Linked DNA regions of Drosophila melanogaster. Changing the gene in region 2 together with the main gene of any one other region gives a genetic interaction. Each region holds a gene or a part of one and is shown on either strand. Other genes may lie near its edges.

The links. A genetic interaction does not mean that the proteins touch.
Region 1: of dsh (region 2) and hep, changing one suppresses a phenotype caused by changing the other (phenotypic suppression), as found in Drosophila melanogaster (5 studies listed by BioGRID).

What each region holds. Positions count from the first base shown.
Region 1 is NC_004354.4:13,086,640-13,092,780, forward strand, and holds the start of hep (hemipterous), read right to left. Parts: upstream 3,796-6,141; 5' UTR 3,138-3,795; coding exon 2,720-3,137; intron 502-2,719; coding exon 14-501; intron 1-13. Other genes in the region: lic (licorne), read left to right, coding at 4,844-4,902, 4,973-5,363, 5,450-5,582, 5,645-5,847. UniProt on the Drosophila melanogaster protein: Required for the epithelial cell sheet movement called dorsal closure (DC), which allows establishment of the dorsal epidermis. Controls the expression in the dorsal epithelium edges of another dorsal closure gene, puckered (puc).
Region 2 is NC_004354.4:11,353,988-11,360,223, reverse strand, and holds dsh (dishevelled), read right to left. Parts: upstream 4,344-6,236; 5' UTR 3,871-4,343; coding exon 1,999-3,870; 3' UTR 1,500-1,998; downstream 1-1,499. Other genes in the region: Pa1 (PTIP associated 1), read right to left, coding at 461-620, 687-895; CG1737 (uncharacterized protein), read right to left, coding at 5,689-6,236.

The DNA of each region.
Region 1 (6,141 bases), 1.7 Mb from region 2:
CTTCAGAACTAACCGCCACTGTGACCTTGCCCAGGATCTGTTCCGGCACCGGCTTCTTGGACAGCTTGAGCAGCTTGTCAAAGCACATGGACATCAGCTCCATGCAGATCCACACATCCGGATCGCGAACGAAGCAGCCAAGGCACTTGACAATGTACTTGCAGTCGTGCGATTTGAGCACAACATCCAGATCCATCAGGATGCGTTTGTTCTCCTCCGCGTTGCCAGTGCGTCGCATCTGCTTCACGGCGATGATCGTGTTGCTGGACAGGTGCATCATCTTCACCACATTGCCGCTAGTCCCATTGCCCAGGTCGCCCAGGTGCTTGAGGTCATTGATGTCCGTCGGATACTGCCGCCCGTTGATGTTCAGCTTGCCGGTCTGCTCCATGATGATCTTCAGCTTCATGTCCGTTTCCGAAACTGGAGGATGTGGCGGCGTGGGCAGCGGAAGTATCACCGGCCGCGTACGATTCAGTCCACCACCGGGACCACTAGAAACTATAGGATATACAATGGAAAACAGCGATATGTTGGTATGATGATAAAAATGTACGTATTAAATTCAATCTAACTAAAAAATTAAACAATATTTTGCATATCTATTATATACAACAAGAATACTTCCAACACATATCTCTCAATTTCTATACGAAAAAAATGCCTTAAAAACAATCCTTTGAAATATTTGCAATAACTTCCAATTGGGTTACCATAGGCCACTAATCAATTAACGAATGCTGCCCACTGTGCCATCGTGTGCGTGTGTGTGTGTGTGCATGAAGAGGAAGAGCGAATGAGAGCGATTTTGTTTTTGTTTGCGAAGTTTTTTTTTCCCTGGCAGCAATTCAATTCAACAATTAGCCACTACAACAACAGCACGTCATAAAAAATAACGCTATTTGTAAACATGCGAAAGAGGAGACACGGCACAATGTCCGATGAACGAATGTGGGCAGGGTGCGGCGGAGGTGGGAATATGTGAGGCCCAAAAAAAATGACAACAACAGTAACGGGCATATCAAGACATTACTCCGGAAATGCCAAAAAGTAACCAATGGCGGAGAGCGAGAGAGGAAGAGAGCACCAAACGCGAGTAGAGAGACGCACACATGCAAAAAGTAAATAAAAAGTATGTAAGTAAATAAATAACAACACTTGATGGCAGATGAAAATCCAATAAGAAAAATATACAAGACAAATATGCAAAAACTTAAATGTATAACAAAAGGAAGGGGAAAAGAAACGAAAAAAGGCGGTGGGTGGTCTCACAACCGTGGGCACAATAACGTCATCTCTTACATGAAAAATTTAAAATTTCTATCAATTTAAGCCTCATAAATAATCGAATAACGACAACTTTTGTCTTTAATAAACCAATTTTGTTCTGATAAATTAACATATAGACCGTTATATTTTGTTAGCTATTTATTCATTTAACTTTTGCTCGCTCATTATGTACCACGAACTTGAAAATCTATTCAATAGCTGATTACACTGTTAAAATTTGGGTGTGATTTTAAGTACCCCTGAAATTCGCGGAAACTATTAACCACTACTAATCTAATCGAATCGAAATGTATTTGATTATTCAAAAACCCATTAGGCATTTTCTGGGGTTCATGTATCAAACAGTTATGGTACCAGGAATTGTTAATCTAATCGAGGCGAAAATAAATTGACGCGGTTCACAGCTGTTAATACCACTGTAGATTTGACTTCTTTTTATTTTTGTTTGGCCCAACAAAAGGCCGAAAACAAGTTGGGTACGCTTTTGGTGTTCGCACTTGGCCTGTCTTATCTATGCAATCGGAAAAACAGAACGGGAAATCGGAGGGGGGGAAAAGCGGCAGAGCTACGGGGTTGACGGGGCGCTGCTGAGGTGCTGGAATGGGGGATTATGAGCAGCTGTTATGCAGTCGGGGAATCGATAGCGTTTGCCCTTTGTTGGCGGCATCCAAATGCTCCAAAGTAAACCCAATGGCAATAGCAATGGGAAAAGCCAAGAAAAGAGCACTTCTCTTATCACAATTTAAGCACACATACATGTATGTACACACACACACGCGCACATACACAGCTTATTGGGCAATGACAATTTATTAACAAAATATTTACACAAATGCGGACAAAAGATGGTTTTGTGGCTTGCGGTTGGCGGTACGGTATATATAGATTTTTGGTGACCATTTTTGGGGATCACGATTTTTCTCAGCCCACTTTTATTACCACTTAACAAACTGTCTACAGTTGCGGTCAGAGAAATGTTGGCTTAAATCCACACCTGTCACAGAGGATCAATAAAGATTTCACCTGTCTAATGTTCGATCGATAAAACATTGATCTTTCTGCGAATTAATATCAAAAATGTTGTTTGTGCGTTTGGAAATTTACTTGGAAAGTTTTACCACGTTTTTGGCGGCCAAAACTGTTTTTCGACAACGATTTACTTTCGAAAGTAGAGAATTATCGAATATTCGAATCGGGAAAGTCTCGTTGGAAAATTTTGAGTTACAGTACGCAGTTTGATAAGCTATCATTTTTAGATAGCGGTTTAGAGTATTCCCTGGTACATGGAGTTTAGTTGTGACATTATATTTTGTTATATTTTTCTTCAACGATTTTCAAAGATTCAGGTAACTACAGTGTTTTTCTAGTTGATCCCAATTAATTTTATATATTAAAGATTTAGTAGGAAGTTAACGAAAAGAGGACTTACGCATGGGCAGTGTGGGCGTGGCTCGCGACACTCTAGTTGTCGGCGGGGTGTATGTTCCACCGAAGGTGCCCGTCGCCGGTGCTGCGGATGCAAATGCGGATGCGGATGAGGATGATGACGAGGCGCTGGCGCTGCCGAAGGGCGTCGCATGAGGAACTGGAGGTGCTGGACGCTGGGCTATGCTGATACCCGATCCGGAAACGGAACCTGCGCCCAAGGAAGGTGCGTGGGTGGCGGATGTGGCTGCGGATGCGGATGTCGCCAGGGGCGGGACGCGGGCAGATGGAACGGAACCGGAAACGACAGGGCCGCGCGCACCGGAGAGGACGATCTGGTCGTGGGACTCATTCTGCGCCTGGAGCTTTGCCTCCAAGGATTGCAGCCGACTGCCGATCGTTTCGAACTCAATGGTGGACATTATATCGAGTCGATTTGGTTCGATTTTTTATAGTTAGTTGCTAGTATCGTTGGATTTTGGTATTTATTAAATTTTTTTCGCCGTTTTTTGGCCAGCACTTCTTCGATTTTCCTCTCACTCACTCCCTCTCTCTCACACACACACAAGCGCGCGCAGGCGGGGGAGGGTGCGTGTGTGTGTGAATTGTTTTGCTGTGCGCCCTGTTTGTTTTGTCGCTGATGTTGTTGTTGTTCGGCGGCACACATACACTGTAAACTTTACACTTGCAAAAATAAAGGATTGCTTGGACTTTTGTTGTTTGCCAAGGGGGGGCACAAAAACAAAATCGAAAAAAGGAAAACACAGTCACTGTGCATTAGAGAGAGACATCCTCACCCCCACACACGCACACACACAGGCATACACGCAGCGCCCTCTCTCTCTTTCTTTTTCAGCAGCAACGGCAACAACAACTTGCGATTTTTTCCTCCTTTTTTGGGAGAATATTTCATCGGTTGTTTTCCTTTCGCGGCGCTGTTTGTCGCACTTCTGCAATCGATTCGTTTCGCGACCGCGGGCGGCGGTATCACTGGCACAATTTGATCACTCGCTTTTGTACGTTTTTGCTGCCTAAATCGCGTGTACAATAGTGATGTAAAAAAACATCGATGCATCAGCCATCGATGGTTCTTCGCCGATAATTCTTAATATCTTTTTTCGTGCCTATCGATGGTTTGCAAAACATCGGCACCTCAGAAACAGTTTTCGAACTAGGAACGGCATCTAAAACTATGTAGGATTTTATTTTACCGAGATAGAATAATTTTCAGAGGATATTTCATACAAATATAATATAACTATAATAGATTTTTCAAATTCAAATTGGTCGATTCGAGAGACTTCGTTGTTCTTGTACTTAAAATAATAATATAAGGTCTACCTATTTATTAATTAATAAAATAATAAATTATTTTAGTACAATTCTAAAACATCGAATTCTATATGTTCAGTCAAACTTGCAACATTACGTATCGAAAACGGAGTGACCAAAGTGCTAAAAAGAATCATAAATATACCGAAATGCAACTTAAGATGGGCATCACTTGGCTAGAACTTATTAAGTTTTCCCTTAAAATAAATGTCTATAAATGTATAAATAAAAAATTAAAGAAAATAAACAAACATTAAAAAATAGGTATGAAGAATATACGGAACAACTTTCTAGAAGGCTTACAAAGAGATATAGATATAATCGATACCTAACTTAATTATCTAAATTCGTTGCAGGTGGAAGCAAATTTATTATCGAGGCACTTCGATTTATTTGTATGACGATACTATAGCTGCACTCGTTGGGATATATCGATAGGACCAACTGCGGCTGGCCAGCGCTAGTGGAAAAGAGAGAAAAACGAGAAGAGAAGCGAAAAGCGATCGGTGAACAGTGCAAAAAGTGCGGAAAGGAAAGCAAAGGCAATAGCGAAAGGTTGGGCGGCAAAACCCGGGCCACACGATCCACACCGATCCGATCCCCATATCACCGACCCGCATCCGAATCCTGACCTGACCAAATGCGGTAAAAATAGCCGCACCGCATCGCATCCGATTCGCACCGAACCGCCAAGTCTTGCAGAATCCGCCAGAAAACACCAAGGAAAGTCGTGGAGAGGAGAGGGTATATATAGCATATAGCATATAGGATATAGGATATAGAAGGGCCTACCAAAATGTCCAAACGCCACCGCCTCACGCCCTTTACCATTGCCAAGGAGCCAGAGGCCGCCATGTAAGTCAAAATGGTCAAATCCTGGCCAGAAACGAATTGTGAATTGAACTACATTCGGCAATCCTTTTAGAGTCCCGCCACGCAACCTGGACTCGCGGGCCACCATCCAAATTGGCGACCGGACCTTTGACATCGATGCAGATAGTCTCGAGAAGATCTGCGATCTGGGCCGTGGCGCCTATGGCATCGTGGATAAGATGCGCCATAAGCAAACCGATACGGTCCTGGCCGTCAAACGCATACCCATGACCGTAAATATTCGAGAACAGCACCGCCTTGTAATGGATTTGGACATATCGATGAGATCCAGCGACTGCCCCTACACCGTCCACTTTTATGGTGCGATGTATCGCGAGGGCGATGTCTGGATTTGCATGGAGGTGATGAGCACCAGCCTGGACAAGTTCTATCCGAAGGTCTTCCTTCACGATCTGCGAATGGAGGAAAGCGTGCTGGGCAAGGTCAGCTGGGGAGGATTGGGGGCGGGTCTAATCTTATCGGGCAATCGCCACTATACTATTACCGTACTACTGCCTTTGCTTTACAGATTGCCATGAGCGTGGTCAGTGCGCTGCACTATCTGCACGCTCAACTGAAAGTCATTCATCGGGACGTCAAGCCCTCGAACATACTGATCAATCGGGCCGGCCAGGTCAAGATCTGTGACTTTGGCATCTCAGGTGGGCTGGCATTCTGTGACTTCTTGCCACTGTAATCATTCTAATATTGGACTGACTTTTAGGCTACCTCGTCGACTCCATTGCCAAAACCATTGATGCCGGTTGCAAGCCGTACATGGCGCCGGAACGGATCGATCCCCAAGGAAATCCGGCGCAATACGACATCAGGTCGGATGTTTGGTCGCTGGGCATCGGCATGATCGAAATGGCCACGGGCCGCTACCCATACGACAATTGGCGAACGCCATTTGAGCAACTGCGTCAGGTGAGTGCCTACCTCTGGCTGGTAACTGTCACAAAGAGGATCTTCAAGATTTTTCCGGACAAAATATGTGTCATTTAGTCAATTTGGGATTTTAGGTCCTAATTATACAAAGGCTACCGATCCGATAATGTATTCCATCTTATCATATATGTAATGAACATTTGGATTTTTCCAATTGTGGTAGCTAAAAGCTTTTAAGAAGGGTGGAATTTCTAAAAATTTGATAATTAATAATCAATTGACACGTTTGATTGGAGCTTATGTTTTTTCACAGATAATCCGTCGAAAATAGTA
Region 2 (6,236 bases):
TCCTTAACAGCTAGTTATGCATATATGGTAATTGAAGTTCAAACTTCTCTGAGTTGCAACTTGTTGGTTCACAAAGTTTTTTAGAATTCCAAAGACTGCTGCAATTTAAGCTACAAGCTAGTCACATGAATATGGTAATTAAGTCATAATATGCCTATGTTTTGATGTTTAAACTTCCTCTCTAGATGCTGACTAATAAGTCATAATAAGCTTATGTTTTGATGTTCAAACTTCAAACTCTCTAAATGCTAACTATAAGTATGGTAATTTAAATCTTAAGTAAATTGAAGTTCAAACTCTCTCTAAATCCTTACATTAATGCGATTTGCAGCAGAGCTCCACAGCCCATCCTGTCGATGGTTGTAAAACGACTGATGCTTATAGACTAGTCCGCATGGCGATAGAGTACGATCTGCAGCCGATTGCCTGGACCGGATCAGCATCAGAATTTCGGCGGGTGCTATGAGCTCTCGGCATTCTTCTTCTTCAGCGTCTCCATGACGCCGGCGAAGTTGGCCGTCTTCTTTTTGGCCGACTTGGGCGTGGACGTCTGGCTGCGGACGCGCATCTGGGTGGGGGCCACATCGTCGCTGAAATCAAAGTCGTTGGCCTTCTGCGGTCTGCGGGGACACGAAAATCAATCATAAGTTATGTTAACCTTCGGATGGTGCTGCACTTGTTCTTACTCCTGCTCAATGGCGTCGGTGGCCTGTTCGAGTTCCTTGCTATTGCCGCCAGATCCCGCCTCCGGCGATGGAGCCCTGCGTCCCGGAAATTGCCATTGCAGTTCCGGAATATTTCCCGCCTCCAGCATCAGATAGTAGCCCTCTAGCTCCTCCGCGTTGGCGGAGAACTTGTCCGCCGTATTCGCCGCCGGCTCCACATCCGTTGCCATCGTTTTCTCGGATTTAAACAATCCAAATGAACTGGAAATTTGCGTTTCTTTCCACAATAGAACCTATTGGTTTCGCGACCTTTCTGGAATGAAAGCGATAGTTTGCTTTGGCGTGCTTATCGAACAGTTATCGAACGTTCGTTGCTATCGATTTTCGGGCTTAGTGTTGCAAAGTGTCCGAGCTGGGCGGTTGATTTGAACACATTTGCTGCTCGAAATGGATTTTCTATTTATAGGTTTCATTATTCTCTTCTTTATTAAGTGCACACCCATGCCCGGAATGTTTCCGCTCCGAGTGCACACAACTTCGAGGATTGTTCTCGATGGCGCATTGTTTGGTTTAGGGGGAAGAACAATATTATCTTGTTGAGACTTTTACTTTTTAGGATGGAAAGTATGTGTTTAAATATTGTTAATCTGTACAAAGAAATAAGAACTAACAAAAATTAGACTTCCTTTTTAATGTATATTCCTCAAATTACGAACAAACGCTAATATGTTTTAGGAATATTTTAAAAGTCTTCTTGGCAATTTGATTTGCACTTGAAAACAGCTAAAATGCGTTAAAGAAACCAATCTCATGCATATGGAAAAGCCATCGATTATTCATTTTATTTGTATTTATTTACTTTGTGATTACTAAATTCTTAGAACTTTATTCAAAATCATTCTCGCCCGTCATGCTGCCGTTCCTGCTCCTCCGCTCCGCTCCGCATCATCCATATATATATATATATATATATATATATATATATCATATATCATATATCTCAGTTGATCTGATCTGATCGGGTCCACAACCGATTGCTGCCGGACACGGATATCCCTGTGCTGATCCTCCTGCTGCCTCACGAGCCCTCGCTGATCCTTGACTCGTTGCGGCTGGGTGTTTAGCGTTCTTTTCTATGACTTACACATACCATACATATACATAAGTATTATTATTATTATTATAATTATTATTATTATTATTATTATAATTATAATTATTATATTGTGGTTTGCTGTTTGCTTGCTTTGTATACTCGTATATAAAAAAGAATAATCGTACATATTTAATTTAATTAATTAAAAACACAATTTGATTGCAAAAAGAAAGGTTTCTACAATACGTAATTAAATACGGATACGTCCTGATCGTTGGTATTGTTGCCGCCACCGCCACCGCCTCCGCCGCCGCCCCGATTGGAGGAGCCGGATGATTTGTTAGAGCCATGAGCGGCGATGGTCAGCTGGTTGGCCTGATGGATCACCGAGGTGATGTCGCTCTGCGACGCCGAGATATCCTTGCTGGTCAGCACATCGCTGCTACTCGATCCCGACGAGATGTGTCGCTCGGCGATGCCGTACTGGATCGGCTGATAGCCGTGACTTGGATTGTACGTGGCCGAATATGGCATATAAATGGGCGGGTTCGGTAGCGGCCCGATGTCGCTGGTGATGCTCTCGGTGTCCGCATGGCTAAGCGCATGGCCGCCATGCCCGTGCGGCAGCTGGTGCGGATGCAGATGTCCTCGGCCCAACAGATTGGGATTGCGCTCCTCGTTCACCACGTAGTAGCACTGCTCCGAGAAGGTCAACTTATTGACCGTATGCTTGATGTAATTGCTGCGCAGCATCGCCGAGACGATCCTTCGCGCCTCCCGCCTATCCTGAACATCCTCCACATTCTCCAGCACCCAATTGACCGCATCGGCGCCGATAAATGCATTGGGAATCGTTATCTTTAGCCACATGCGATCCCTGATCTCCAGGCCGCTGTCCGGCTTCGTCATCGCCTTAACGATCTCCTCGAGGTTATTCTGGTCCAGACGCTCCTTAATCGGCTCCGCAATGTCGGCAATAATACTGTCGTGCGATGTGAGGGCCTGAGTGTGCGCCACCCAAGCACCGGGATCGATGGGTCGCACCGGCTCCGTGCGCGGAATGGTGAAGTAGCCCTTGGGATTTGGGTCCCAGCACTTGGCCACCACCAGCTTGATGGGTCCCGGCTTCTGAACGACTTCTCTCAGCACACGTACCGCCTCGTCGTTGGTCATGTTCTCGAAGTTGACATCGTTCACTTGGAGGATCATGTCGCCCGGTTCGATGCGTCCATCGAGTGCCACTGCGCCGCCTTTCATGATGCTGCCCACGTAGATGCCGCCGTCGCCGCCGCGATTCGATTGCCCGACAATGGATATGCCCAGAAAGTTGACCGCCTCCATGTTGATGGAGACGGTAATGATATTTAGGGACATGGTCGAGTCGGTTATGGAGCTGTACGAGGAGGTGCGCGACATGCTGGGCGCCCGTTTTTTGCGCCTCTGCGGCTTCTTGCGCACCTGCAATCGCTGAACGCTGCTATAGTCGGTCATGTCGCGGTCCAGCGTCAATTCGGATTCGGTGCCAAAGAGACTGGTCGAGTCCAGATCGCTGGAGAGCACGGATGCCGATTGATATGTGAGCGGTGGCGGCTGCAGCAGCGGATTGCCCATCATCTTCTGGTGATGGAGCACCTGCTGCTGTTGCTGCTGCGCCAGCTGGACAGGCTGCACCTGCTGCTGCTGTTGTTGTTGCTGTTGCTGGTGCTGCTGCTGCTGTTGTTGTTGCTGCTGCTGATGCTGCTGCTGTTGCTGCTGTAGCTTCCTGTTGGTCAGACCCATGCCCAATTCACACTCACTGGTTGGCAGCTCGGAGCAGTTATCTGACTGATTGGTACCATCGGCGGAGACCAGCCAGGACACCACTCGCCCATTGAAGCAGGGCAGTATGGTGGAGTCGTCGGCTATTTCCTCTTTGACCACACCGAAATCGGCGTCCATTGACTTGAAGAAGTACTTGTAGTTGTTGTTCTGCTTGTTCAGCACCAGCTTGAAATCGCGCAGCGTCACCTGGGCGGATGGAATGGGGATCTTCACCAGATACGGCGTCGTCTCATCGTCGATGTGGTATATCACCTTCGTCTCCTGCCCGCCGCCCCTGTCCGCGTCCATTTTAGCTGCGCCGACTGCGGAAATCCACGGGAAAACTCCTCGACGCGATAAAACGCGATCAAAACGAAATGCGATGGATGCGGTGGGGAGGTGGCGTGGGAAGTTGGTGGGGAAAAATCACAGGGAAAACGGGATTAAGCCAGGGAAAAGCCGATACAACAAACAAAATTCACTCGATTTTGCTTTTCTCCCCCTGGTCGCTCTAGCCCTCTCGCTCTCGCACGCGTTTCTTTTACTTTTTCTTTCTCTTTTTTTTGGGCTGGGTATTTCGATTCAATGGAAGCGGCGGCTGTTAATTCGTCGATTTGCACGGCGTTGATATTGCTCCATTAGCACGATTTGGTGCGCTTTAATGTCGGTGCACGCAGCGGGGGCAGGGCGAAACGAGCATATTGCTAGTTTATCAATAAATTTGTTAGAATTTTGAGACTAAAAAAAAACAGTGTGTTAGCCGCTCGTCACGCACGGAATGCCAAAGCGCCGGGCAGTTGGTCACACTGCCGGCGATGCCAGACCCTTTCGAATTCGAACATTCTTAACATTTTCTCAAACGAATATTCTGAAAAAGCGTATGGAAAACTACTAAAAACTGCAATGTATTTAGTTTCTATTGGAAATGCTCTCTCTAACGATATTTGCTTTACAATTTGAATGTAGTTCAAACACTTTTAAAATTAAATACCAAAGTTATCGATAAATATCGTTTAATTTGAATACTTATTCAAAACAATAAATTTATTATAATTTAACAAAATAGCAATTTCTATTACATAAAACATGTAGAATCTAAAACTACAGCTATATTGAACTCTTAATTGTATTAATTTACCATATAATGATGTAGCATAGTTGAAGAGTGTCCTGTTTAAAAGTAGAGTCTTTATCCTTGTCATGGAAACTTGACCAAGGAAACTCATCCATCCATCCACTTGAAGCCTGCGTTCCTTATCTTCTTTCGCTTTTCACACGAAAATCTCTAGCGTTGGCCGCAGTTTATTTATAGCTGCCCGATTTCCAGATAACCCCGCCCGCCATTTATCACGCAATGGCGCTCGTTATTTAAATCAGTTTTCTCTTTTATTTGTATGCTTTGAATTGGGATCACTTAGATATACACTCGACTAACTTACTGGCTAGTCCTCCACGCGGGCGTAGGCACATGTACGCCCGGTTTTATATTATTGAATCGACTACGATAATAGCAATTTAAAAAAAAAGGATTTCGAAGGGGGCGGGACTCGCGGGGAAGGCGGAGGGGGGCTATGTATTCCAACGCATTTAAAATAAAAATCATTATTGATATACCTCGACCGCCCGGAACTTCGCAATCCCTTCGAGAGTTGGGCGAGCATTTTACAATTAATTGTTTTCTTTAGTTTAGTTTATATTACATAGATACATCTGCCGTTTGTATTTATGTATGTCCGTCCGCTGTTTATAATATACGAGATATATATATATAAAAATTTATATAAATATATATATATATATATTCATATATATAAATATATAATTATATATACGTGTATATATATTAATATATATTTATATACATACATATATATATATACATATAAATATATATAAATTTACGCTACACTAGCTATTACAACTAAGTTAATGGTTTTACAAAAAAAAACTTGTATCTGTTTTATTACAACTACAGCATAAAACGAATTATCGAGTGTCCGCTTTGTTTGTTTGTGTATGTGTATGGGGGAGGGGGATGGGGATGGGGAGGGGAGTGCTGTGTGTGAATTATTTTTTACAATGTGATACGTGCTCTTCCTGTGGCCACCATGGACCAGGCCTCCACGCTCACTTAGCGTTGACCAGCTCGACAATGTTGCTGCTGATCGAGAGGCGATCGACGATATCCAGCAGGATCTCCACATCCTTGATGGTGGCAACCGTCTCGGGGGCACCCAACAGATTCACATGCTTGCCATCGATGTTCGCATAGAAGCATTTGTTCTTGAAGATGACGGCCCGATCGTAGGGCACGCGGCACGTGTTCTTGTCAACGACAACGCGCCGGAAGAGCACGCACGACGGCTGATACTTGTGACGGTCCTCCTCGGGTATGTTGTACGCCTTGAGATCGCCCGTAAAGATGGTCATTGTCTGGCGGGGCATCATCGACGGCGAGACCTTGTACAGCGTCACCTTGCTGGTCCATTTGCCCGATGGCACCTTTATCCGTGACGCCACATTGGCCAGCTTGACCAGCGCCAGCTCCAGGCAGGTGCGCTGCTGGCGCGCCATCTTCGACAACATATCCTTGGCCGTGCTAACCACATGCCACGTCTCATAGCAGGTGATCTTCTTTACCACACGACCATCCTCCTCGTGAAACGTTGTGGTCT